Danio rerio: one gene and its partners. Each later gene encodes a partner of the first gene's protein in a complex. Links are inferred from orthologs where the notes say so. Each region holds a gene or a part of one and is shown in the gene's direction. Other genes may lie near its edges.

What was found. The genes of interacting proteins can lie anywhere in the genome.
Region 2: the proteins of eif4a1a (region 1) and pdcd4b are in contact, whole or in part, in a crystal structure (PDB 2ZU6), measured with the Homo sapiens proteins. The link is inferred for Danio rerio from reciprocal best matches to the Homo sapiens genes EIF4A1 and PDCD4. Residues at the interface, in NP_001407.1 of Homo sapiens: Gln75, Thr109, Arg110, Glu111, Ile135, Gly137, Val140, Thr158, Gly160, Arg161, Asp164, Glu186, Leu188, Ser189, Arg190, Gly191, Phe192, Gln195, Ala214, Thr215, Met216, Pro217, Glu240, Leu241, Thr242, Asn280, Thr281, Arg282, Arg283, Thr329; in NP_055271.2 of Homo sapiens: Pro170, Gln173, Glu174, Glu177, His178, Glu183, Glu186, Met187, Asp190, Leu209, Glu210, Lys212, Glu249, Leu250, Leu252, Asp253, Thr254, Pro255, Arg256, Gly320, Gln321, Gln322, Ser323, Val324, Leu327, Glu348, Lys352, Glu355, Val356, Pro357.
Region 3: the proteins of eif4a1a (region 1) and kank1a are in contact, whole or in part, in a crystal structure (PDB 7DDX), measured with the Mus musculus proteins. The link is inferred for Danio rerio from reciprocal best matches to the Homo sapiens genes EIF4A1 and KANK1. Residues at the interface, in NP_659207.1 of Mus musculus: Lys99, Val140, Arg141, Val144, Gln145, Lys146, Leu147, Gln148, Met149, Glu150, Ala151, Arg168, Arg169, Tyr170, Ser172; in NP_852069.4 of Mus musculus: Gly1168, Asn1169, Asn1171, His1175, Tyr1176, Val1178, Asn1201, Lys1202, Ala1203, Tyr1205, Met1209, Leu1210, Leu1213, Ala1214, Ala1215, Gln1240, Ala1241, Leu1248, Ser1251, His1252, Arg1254, Asp1273, Glu1274, His1285.

Annotation. Positions count from the first base shown.
Region 1 is NC_133182.1:26,543,632-26,546,693, reverse strand, and holds part of eif4a1a (eukaryotic translation initiation factor 4A1A), read left to right. Parts: intron 1-35; coding exon 36-204; intron 205-329; coding exon 330-439; intron 440-1,188; coding exon 1,189-1,332; intron 1,333-1,398; exon of another isoform or gene 1,399-1,537; intron 1,538-1,620; coding exon 1,621-1,758; intron 1,759-2,614; coding exon 2,615-2,704; intron 2,705-3,062. UniProt on the Homo sapiens protein: ATP-dependent RNA helicase which is a subunit of the eIF4F complex involved in cap recognition and is required for mRNA binding to ribosome.
Region 2 is NC_133197.1:31,538,717-31,542,759, reverse strand, and holds part of pdcd4b (programmed cell death protein 4b), read left to right. Parts: intron 1-1,683; coding exon 1,684-1,794; intron 1,795-1,874; coding exon 1,875-2,014; intron 2,015-4,043. UniProt on the Homo sapiens protein: Inhibits translation initiation and cap-dependent translation. May excert its function by hindering the interaction between EIF4A1 and EIF4G. Inhibits the helicase activity of EIF4A. Modulates the activation of JUN kinase.
Region 3 is NC_133180.1:45,819,401-45,823,443, forward strand, and holds part of kank1a (KN motif and ankyrin repeat domain-containing protein 1a), read left to right. Parts: intron 1-269; coding exon 270-489; intron 490-1,162; coding exon 1,163-1,305; intron 1,306-1,652; coding exon 1,653-1,853; intron 1,854-1,942; coding exon 1,943-2,041; intron 2,042-4,043.

The DNA of each region.
Region 1 (3,062 bases):
CAAGCTGATGCAGAACTCTCTTCTGTTCTCCTCAGATTCAGAAGGTGGTCTTGGCTCTTGGAGACTACATGGGGGCAACTTGCCATGCCTGCATTGGGGGTACCAATGTTCGTAATGATGTTCAGAAGCTTCAAGCTGATGTGCCCCACATAGTGGTCGGAACCCCTGGCCGTGTGTTTGACATGCTCAACCGCAGATATCTCTGTAAGTACTTGATTTGGTTCATCTTGATTTCAAGTCTAATTCTAGAATTTGAGTTTTGTTCTTTTTTTTTAATTCTATTTAATTGGCTAATTTGCGTTTTTTTTTTTCTTTCACCTCTCCTCCAGCTCCTAAATATATAAAGATGTTTGCCCTGGATGAGGCAGATGAAATGTTAAGTCGTGGTTTCAAGGACCAAATCTATGAAATTTTTCAGAAGTTGGCCACAGACACTCAGGTAAACAAGTCTATATTATTTTGTGTGCATCCACGCCAAAGTTCCCTCACCTGCCAGCGCTCTGTGCTGTGATGGGTATCAAGTTCTTTGGTAGAGTGAAGTAACTGCTCTCCACTATGATTGGGCTCTTCAGTCCCTGTTCATAACTATTTAAGCAGCTGACATTAAATTTAAAAAAAAATATTTGTTTTACTTTTTACTTCATAAAGGAAATCCAACCTGAAGTTTCACACAGAATTGTAAGACATTTTAAGAATCGATTTGATCAAGTAGTTTTTACCAGATGTCGTATTGGGCATACGAGAATAACACATGGTTTTTTGCTCCAAGGTGAAAACCCTACTCGGTGTTTGTGCTGCAAAACTCCTCTTACTGTAAAACATATTTTACTGGACTGTCCTGCTTTTACTGATTCCAGAAAGACTTTTTATGAAATGAACTCTTTTAAGGACATTTTTGACAAAGTGAAACCAGAAAAGATTTTAGAATTTTTATCATGTATTAACACACATCTTAATTTGTTTTATTTTGTTTGTTGATTTTTAAATTGTATATTTATTGTTGAAAGATTCCTGCCATGAAGATAGCCTTGGTTGCTGACATGGCACTAAATAAAAAAAAATACATACATACTTATTAAAGGTTTGAATATGGCTGCTTTTTGCTTTGATCAGTCCAACTATTAATCTTTATGGTCTCAATTTATTTTGAGGCCTGAACCTAATAGAGGGTCTTACCTTTTTTCACAGGTGATTCTTCTGTCTGCCACCATGCCTCAGGAGGTGCTGGAGGTGACTACAAAGTTCATGAGGGATCCCGTTCGTATCCTAGTTAAGAAAGAAGAGCTGACCCTTGAGGGTATCCGGCAGTTCTACATTAATGTTGAGAAGGAGGTGAGTTGAGAGGAATGTGAGCTGTCATGTTTATGGTTTGCAGTGATTAGTGACAGTTATAAGGCTGTTTTGTGATGATCCCCATGCGTGTCAACTGATCCCAGACTCCCTGCAGTGCTCAATGTCTGATGAGCGTTTTGCTCAACAGTGCATTTTGAGCCTGTAGGACTCTGGGAACTTGATCTTAACTTTTAAATCTGAAAACGGCACTACTTAGTGGTTAATCTTAAATATAATTCAATTAAAAGAAAAGTATCCTTTTACAGAGCAGTTTTCTCTGTATTACAGGAGTGGAAGTTGGACACATTGTGTGACCTTTACGAAACCCTGACCATCACTCAGGCTGTAATCTTCATCAACACTCGCCGGAAGGTGGACTGGCTAACTGAGAAAATGCACGCAAGGGACTTTACCGTTTCTGCTCTGGTAAGTGAAAGGTTTTCTCGAATGAGGATTTTCAAAACCTGGTCAAACACTCAAGCAAACCCCTTCAGTCATTTTTAAAATGTACTTCCTGAATACACCAAAGTTCCCTCACCTGCCAGCGCTCTGTGCTGTGATGGGTATCAAGTTCTTTGGTAGAGTAAAGAAGCTGCTCTCCACAATGATTGGGCTCTTCAGTCCCTCTTCATAACTAATTAAGCAGATGACATTTTCATATCATGATTAGGCTTTTTACTTGAAATAGACTCTCTACACGTTATTGGGTGGGTCATTTATAACTGATGGTGTTGTATTTAATTTATTTGGATCATAGTTCGGTGAGACACCTCTTCCTTTAGTGGTTTAAACTGTCTTTTGGCCACTTTCCTGTTTTCTGAGGTTATGATCTATGGATGGGTTAGTGTATGAACTTTATTTTTTTTTTTTTAATCCTTTCAGTCAATGTTACAATGTAAGCTTGCAGCGTTGACCATATAAATATAAGCAAGCAGACGATGGGAAAAGATCCAGAGAGGGATCCTGTTTGTTGTTCTTTTGACATCTTAATTATACCAGTGCTGTAAGCTTTTTGAGTTAGACTGGTAAGAATGCGAGTTATCTACAATGGTTCAGCTCAACATTTTAAACCCTGTCGACCAGTGTATTTAGTGGTTGACTTAATGAATAGGATTTCTAAATTAATCTTGATGGCTGTAATCTGAGACCTCCGTTTCAAAACATAGCTGATATGGTCTTCCATCTGTTCACTGTCATCCGTTCAACTGTTTACATTTAATGACCATTTTCATGCTGCTCATAAATTCCTTTTTATGACTTTCCACTTTCTTTGACTTCATAGCATGGTGACATGGAGCAGAAGGAGAGAGATGTCATCATGAAAGAGTTTCGTTCCGGCTCCAGCCGAGTGCTTATCACCACTGATCTGCTGGTAAGCAAATCTACACACTAAGCTTTCACATCCAAAGATCCCTCTTCCACCAGTAATCAGTGCTGTGATGGAGATCATGTTCTTTGGGAGATTATTGAAACTGCTCCCACAGTGACGGGGTCTCAAAATCCCTTAACACTAATATAAGCAGTTGACATTCACACTTTTCAAGCACAATGGCTTTAATCTTTCAGAAAAGGTGTATACAATAATTAGTGCACCTACGTTCTCGATCTAAATCATTGGTCACTTTCATCTATACATTTGCTTTGAAATCATCTTCCACAAGGACTTTCCAAACAAGATTTATCACTCAAATGTATAGTTCTGTCTATAATGTGCTCGCCAGATCCTCAAG
Region 2 (4,043 bases), on another chromosome or scaffold:
ACATAGTCATGACAGAGTTCTCTGCAAAATGATTCTAATCGAATTCAGGATCGCACCAATTAAATTGTTCACAGTCTTTTCCGTAGCTTGTCAGTGAACAGTGGCTCTGTTTTCAGATGAAGCAGCATTTGCCACAGAGTCGGCTTTACTCACAAGATGCACATGAACACTAGTTTGATTAATCACTCAGCCCAATCCGCTTGTTAGGTCGTGACATATGAAATACTGTTTCCGAGTCCAAGCTGCTACTCATAATATTCATTTATGACCACTTTTTAGTTGCATATCACACAATAAAGTGAATTTTGTATAAAGTCATGGTGTACACACAATAAAAAAAATCCATTCCACTTTCTGGCCATGGAATATTAGGCATATATATATACACACACACATTGTGATCATGATTTCCGAAAGTATTACATCACCTTGTAAGCGTTTATTATTACCATTTGTTGAGCCTCTCCATACAGTTAGAGTGCCTGGACCAGGAAGTCGCTTCACGGAACATCACACTTAACAAGTGAATAATTTGTATACATTTATACCTTAAAAATCTGAATACTGGATGAAAATTATTTTAAAATAACATACCATATACCAAATAACATCAAAATATTTCTGTTTTATGTTGTTTATAATTGTTTAAATAAGCCAAAATAATACATGCCGAACAGCTTTTTAAGATCTCAAAGTTTTAGCTCATAAAAAGGAGAAAGTTCAAGAAACTGGCTGATAAACGGAAGAAAAGGCGGCATTTTTTCAATGCATCCATGTGTACGAACTTTTTTTTCAACGCGATAATTCATTTGACAGTCGTGTGTTAGCAGACCACTGTAATAAATTTATAAAAGCAACACTGACGACCCATGTTTCTAAACAAATTTTCTTCCATTTATTTAATTACGGTTGGCAACACAACATGGCGTCTCTCTGATGTCTGAACACTGTAACAGGTAAAATGCTCTTCGAAGCTATCATGCATGTTAATGAAGTTTGGTTTGAGTCGAGTCTTTTTTTTATGAATTAATGCTAAAAAAGATGTCACATTGTACAGAACGTAACGAATAAACAAAGAACGAATTTTCTGGAAATAATGCAAAAACAACCATTTTTCAAATTTTTTTGTTAAACGTGTGTCCTAATAGTGTTTTTTCAGGAGCATGGGACACATATAACTGTCACCATATAAAAAAACATATTTTGTGACCGTTTAAGTGACATTTAAAGGCGTAACAAGGTTAATTAGATTAATTAGATAAGTGATTGTATAATGATGGTTTGTTTTGTAGACAATCGGAAAAACAAAATATTGCTTCAGGGGCTAATAATTGTAACCTTAAAATGTTTTTTTTTTTTTTTTTTTTTTTTTTTTTTTTTTAAAGAATGCCTTCATTCAAGCTGAAACGAAACAAATGACTTTCTCCAGAAGAACAAATATTATAGAAAATACTGTGAAAAACATCCTTGCTCTAAGAAACATAATTTGGCAAATATTTAAAAAAGAAAAAAAATGTACAGGAGGCCGAATAATTGACTTTATCTGTTTATGAATGCAGTTTTTGCTTGTAGTGTCTTGTATTGTTTTAAAATATTGAATACAGTGTGAAAGGAAGAACACGAGGCTGCTGATTAGTGGTTTGCTCTTTTATTAATGATGCTTGTTTTTTTTTTTTACCTCAGGCAGTGATCATGGTGCTGGAGTCTACAGGCGAGCGGACGCTTCAGATGCTCCTGCAGTTGTTGAAGTGTCTCTGCTCCTCCACCATCATTACTGTGGATCAGATGAGACGGGTATGAAGCGCCAGCTGCTGCTCACATCGAGTTACTGCAGCTTGATGAGCATGTGTAATCTGAGCTCCATCCTCTTGCAGGGCTTTGAACGGGTGTATCTGGACATGCCGGACATCAGTATCGACGTGCCGTGTGCCTATTCGATCCTGGAGCGGTTTGTGGAGCAGAGCTTTAATGCTGGAGTCATCGATAGGAAACTGCGAGACCTCTGTCCTAGTCGGTGAGTCAGAAAGCCTGTTCGTTTGTTTAAGTATAATAGATTCAATGTTTTCTTTCTGCATGCACAGTGGTTTTGAGTAATAAATTTTTTTTCCCCAAATATTTTCTAGGAATCCGGCTATGTCAATAAAATTAGATAAAAAATAAAAAAAACCACACACATTACATAATGCGAGTTTGTCACAGAATAAAAATAGGCAATATCAGGTAGAGCCTTGTAAGTCCATAGTGACTGGCTATTATATAAAGGTGGTTGTGTTGTTATTACATCATTTATATAATGATTTGTATATTATGCTTCATAAGAGTAACAATAATAAATGAATTTACAATGTATAAAAACTGATATATTATTAAAAAAAATTACTTTAATATAGACAAATGGTATTTTAGAAAACTAAGTACATAAACTACATGATGATTAAAAAATATACATCTTAAGCTGCAAGTCAAATTAATGCATTCATTTGTTATGTTGATATATAAACAGCTTGTTAATACATGTATTTTTATTATCGTTAAATAGTTTAATACACGGTTGCAGTTTATCTTAATACTATTAGATTAATTTTCATTTGATAGTATATGAGTATATAAATTACTACTACATAATCGCAAAATGATACTACGCTATTGTCATCATTATTAAAATTTTATTAATATATTTGGTTTTTGTAGTGTATACAATTAATATTCTAATTTTATTAGCATTTTAAGAAATATAACTGATTATATTAGTGTAAATAATATATTTTTGATAATAATGCTATGTTAATATTATTAACATGTTGTTGTTGTTGTTGTTATTATAATAATAGTATATTACTTGTAGCACATTTACAATAATACTGTTGGTTTTATTTATTTTATAAAAATGTTTGTTTTTGGTAATATTAACTACAACAGAGTATTAAGGAAGTCCCTTTGAGGCAGGCTTGTCAAACTCAGTTCCTGGAGAGCCGCAGCCTTGCAGTTTAGTTCCAACCCTGCTCCGACATGCATCCCTGTTAGTTTCAAACAAGCCTGAAGGACTGCAGTAGTTTGATCAGGTGTGTTTAACTAGAGTTAAGCCTGTTTCACATGGCAAGCGTAAGTGGCGCGTGAGCAGAGCATGAGCAGAGTGTGTTTTTTCGACATCCATGTTAACAGATTAGATCTTTCATACCTCACACAGCAGCAGCGCATCAGCGTGAGTCGTAAGCGTCGCTGAAGCAGCAGTTTCGTCGCTGGGTCTATTTTTGCCATGCTGCTCACGCTCAATTAAAGTGACAGTGCATTGCTAATGACCAAAACACATTGAATGACAGTAGAAAGTAGCAATTTTACCTAATAAATGCGCTAATATTATCAACTGATTTTTATTTAGTCAATCAAATAAACTCAAACGATCAAAAACTGCAACAAATATTTATTTAGGTCCGAACTACAAAACCAAGTTCAAAACAACTTTAGTATCAGTTTTGCTTAAGTTGCACACTAGTGTTGCAGGAGAGGGGAAGTGGCCACTTTAAGACTGCTGTTTACGGGAGTTGTAGTCCATAGCGGCGTGTATTGTGGGTAGTGTAGTTCGACACGCATGCTGGGTGATGTGAGCTCGCTGTGTGCTGTGCAGCTGAAGCAAAGTTTCAAGAGTATCTGAATGCAGCCTTTATGTTGCAACCTGAGACCGCATCACTCAGAGATGCAATGTCAGACACAATGCACTCAAATGTAGCTAGTGACGTCACTGTGAGGGGTAGGGTTAGGGTTGGGGTTAGGTGAGCCCATTAAAAAGCATTGGGTGCAGCCCAGATTGCACTGCACCAGGTCTGCATCCAGACCCCTCTCGAAAGTTTTATTCAGCTTTGTTTTATGTTCACTCAAGTTATTCCACCTGGGAGCTGTTTGCACTGTGAACCTGACAAAACGAAAATAAGTTAAAGAAGGGCAGGCATTGATTACTCTTGTCTGTCTCATCCTTTACACGAGTTGTGACTCTGCCAACAACAACCTGACAATGAAAAACTAAATGACATGAGATCACAGGCGAT
Region 3 (4,043 bases), on another chromosome or scaffold:
TGTGTGTGTGTGTGTGTGTGTGTGTGTGTGTGTGTGTGTGTGTGTGTGTGTGTGTGTGTGTGTGTGTGTGTGTGTGTGTGTGTGTGTGTGTGTGTGTGTGTGTGTGTGTGTGTGTGTGTATGTATAGATAGATAGATAGATTTATTTCTGCTTTGTCTTTTTATGATTCTTAAATGTTTCCTGTGATTTTGGGGTTAAACAGCACTATCACTGTAACTCCCCTGTACATATTCCTACTGATCTTGGTGTATAATTGTTTCTGATTCCAGAGGCCGTGTGTGAACACCGTGCAGCATGAGTGGTTCCGAGTATCCAGTCAGAAGACGGCTGTGGCGGAGATGGTGGAGGACTATCTGAATGCGTTCAGAAGCATCTCTCCTGCCCTGCTGCAGCACATTGTAAACATGGCCGATGGCAACGGCAACACCGCCCTCCATTACAGCGTGTCCCATTCCAACTTCCACATTGTCAAGAAGCTACTGGAAGCTGGTTAGTACTGTATATGGGAGTCTCTATTTCAGCATTTTTCTTTTAAAACTGCTTATGTTTGGTAAGTGTGAAGGCAGCGTGACTGAATGGTAAAACTTTATAGTATATTGCTGTCATAAATCAGAACTGTGGATTCAAATATACTGATTTGATTCAGTTCTGATTCACAAGCTCTTTTTTCAGTTTGATTACATTTTTTATTTCATTATTAAATGTAAATTAAATACCAGTGCTATTTGTATGTAAGCTAATAGCTAATTCTCCGTCCACATACAGAATCATTCTGTTTGATTTTCCACTTTTCCTTCTCCAAAAAAGTACCAAAGAGCTCTATGAATACCCTATGATGAGGTGCCTCGACTCCTGCAAATAAAAGCCCATTATCCCATCGCCTTTGTGCTCCTCTACTATCTGACTCTTTTCGAACGGCCCTCATTGTTTCAATTGTCTGCTTCCATTCTCATTCTCCTCTGGCCATCTTTGGCCTCATTGCCAGTCAGTGAAGCCCCGCTTTGCTCCTTCTCTTCATCCACAATCCATGACTCTCCTTCTGAATAGCCTGCGTGTCCCTTCTCTGAAGTTCAAACAATAGAAGACCTCCTTCCAAATGCATTACTCCAATGGTGGGCTCAGCGGTGTTTCTGATTCCCCTGCTCTCTCTGTTTCATCACAGATGTCTGCAATGTCAATCAGCAGAATAAAGCAGGCTATACGCCCATCATGCTCGCAGCGCTCGCCGCCGTAGAGGCTCCGAAGGACATGAGGGTGGTCGATGAGCTGTTTAGTAAAGGAGATGTCAATGCGAAGGCCAGCCAGGTCAGTGGGATACTAAAATTGTTTGAGCATTGATTTAAATAAATGCTTGGGGCAGGTTGTATTTATGTTTGAAGAAGTGTATCATCAATTATATGAATTATTGCACAAATTTACATAACACTCTACAAAATTCTGCATTATTTCAATACAGTTTTGAGCAAAATATGCACAAAATCAATTAAGTTTAATGCTTAATCCAGTCTGGATTGAAATAGTACAGTATTTTTTGGAATTAAGTCCAGAGTTGGCAAATAAACAATTGACAATGGTATGTTTACATATATAAGTCTAAACCCTATTAACATTTGACTTAGTGGTCAGTGTCTAAACTGTTTTCTTTGATGCAGGCTGGTCAGACAGGGCTGATGCTGGCTGTCAGTCATGGCAGAATGGACATGGTGAAAGCTCTGCTAGCCTGTGGTGCGGATGTCAACATCCAGGACGACGAGGGCTCGACCGCGCTCATGTGTGCCAGTGAACACGGCCATGTGGAGATAGTGAAGCTGCTGCTGGCTCAGCCAGGCTGTGATGCCACTCTCAGTGATAATGTGAGTCCCCACAACCCTTCCCAAGTCTGTATGTATGACATGTCAGATTCATTTCACATACTAGATGCTTGTATTCTTGTGTTGTGTAGGACGAAAGCAACGCATTGTCTATTGCTCTGGAAGCAGGACATAAGGACATCGCAGTCTTGCTGTACGCTCATATGAACTTCTCCAAAGCTCAGTCACCAGTGAGTGATCGTATTTTTACATTCAGCCGATTCATAATGCAGTCATTTAAACCAGTTAGTTCTGTTCATTCTTGTTTATTTTCAGCTGTGAAACAATGGTCTGGTTTACCTCGTGACAAACTAATTAATGGCAAAACGATTCAAAGCATGTGTGTACGATGCAAGAACTATCTACTGTATGTGTGGTTAAAAAAAAAATCAGTCAGTGTGTTTACAGTATGTTCATGCTGTTCTGATGATTGCATTCTGAATCACACTCACTGTATGTGATCCCTTACATACAGATAAATCCCAAGTGGGCTTAAGGGGTTAATTAACCCAAAAATAAAAATTCTGCTATTAATAACTCAGCCTCATATCATTCCAAACCCCTGAGACATTCATTCAACTTCAGAACACAAATGAAGATATATTAAGTAAGATCTGAAAGCTCTCTAGTCCTCCATATAGTAGGGACCCTAACTTCCTCAAAGTAAAGACAAATACTTATAACATTAGCAGTAGCGGTTTTCCACTCGCCGCTATTGTTGGTAGAGTGATCAAGTTTATATACACGTACATGCCAATAAAGTCTTTATTTTGTTCTCCAATAAAGCTTATCTCCAGAAAATGTAGCTATGAGCATTGATGTTTAAATATTTCTGAAGTTTTTTATAAATATTTATGACCTTTGATGCAACCGAATTCAATAGACTACTACTGTATGTCAAAACTGTTTGCTACCTAGCCACACGCTTACCCCTTTCCTTTCCTGTGCGTTTGAACACAGAGGTTATTATTTGCAGTCTTGTGAAGCCAATGGGAAAATCTTATGGGGATTTTATCAAGGTAACCAGTTTAATGCTAGCATGCCTACAAGGTGACATCGTTCATCCACTCTATGCAGTACTGTCAGATATGCAGAATTATACTGCCACCCAGTGGCTAAATGCTATCTTGCAATGTATGGTCAAACGTTTTCAAGACGGTCCAAATACCTACTGTTGTTTAATTGGACTAATGTCAAGCCACCGGAATAATTTTGTGTGCACATCAAACAGAACTAATGACTTTATTCAACAGTTTTCTCCTCGTTGTCAGTATAGTGTCACGTTTACTCGTTACGTTTGGTCGTTCTGCTGATGCATTACCTCTAATCCATGCTTTTTTTTTTAAAGAGGGAAAATTGTGCATGGGCATTCAGGAGTGAATGTATCACTGCACAGTACTCGTGAACGTACACAATATACTAAGGAGAAAAAACTGTTAAATAAAGTCATTATTTTTGTTTTATGTGCACAAGGATTCACGTATAGTTCTATTTAAACCACTAAAGGCATATGGTCTGTTTTTTGAGGATGTTTTTGGGTATTTTTCTGGACTTTAAGCAAGAACCGCGCTCTCTAGGGAGAAGGAAGGAGCTCTCAGATTTCATCTAAAATATCTTATAATATGAAGGTAAGGTCTCAGTTTAGAATGACATTAGTAATTAAGGTCGCGTTTTATATTAGGGGGCCTTAACTACTATGTACTTGCATAAAAAACTAAATACAATGGACTTTATGTGTTTATAATGTATTGCAGAACACTTCTGGTGGGGTATGGGTAGGGTTAATAACAGGTTTGCTGTTATCAATAGGGTTAAGGTGTAAGGGATGTCAACAGTGTAATTAAAAATGTAAGAAATTGCAGAAATTAATTAAACATGTAAATTCATGCCGGTATTTTATCAATCATAAGTACAATGTAAAAACATGTATTTACACAATAAACACATTGTAACAAATTATTAATTTCAGTCTAAGTCCATATTAGTTAAAGGCACCTAATATAAAGTGGGACCGTTAATAATAACGTAATTTTCATTTTTTTGCGAACTAACCCTTTAAAAAGCCATGAAATTCCCAGGACCAGGATTAACAACCACTGCTTTTTTTCTATATTTTTATACCAATTTAGGTTTTCTTTGCTTTCATATTTTTTATCAACATGTTTTCTGGAAATTAATCCTCGCTCCTGTAAA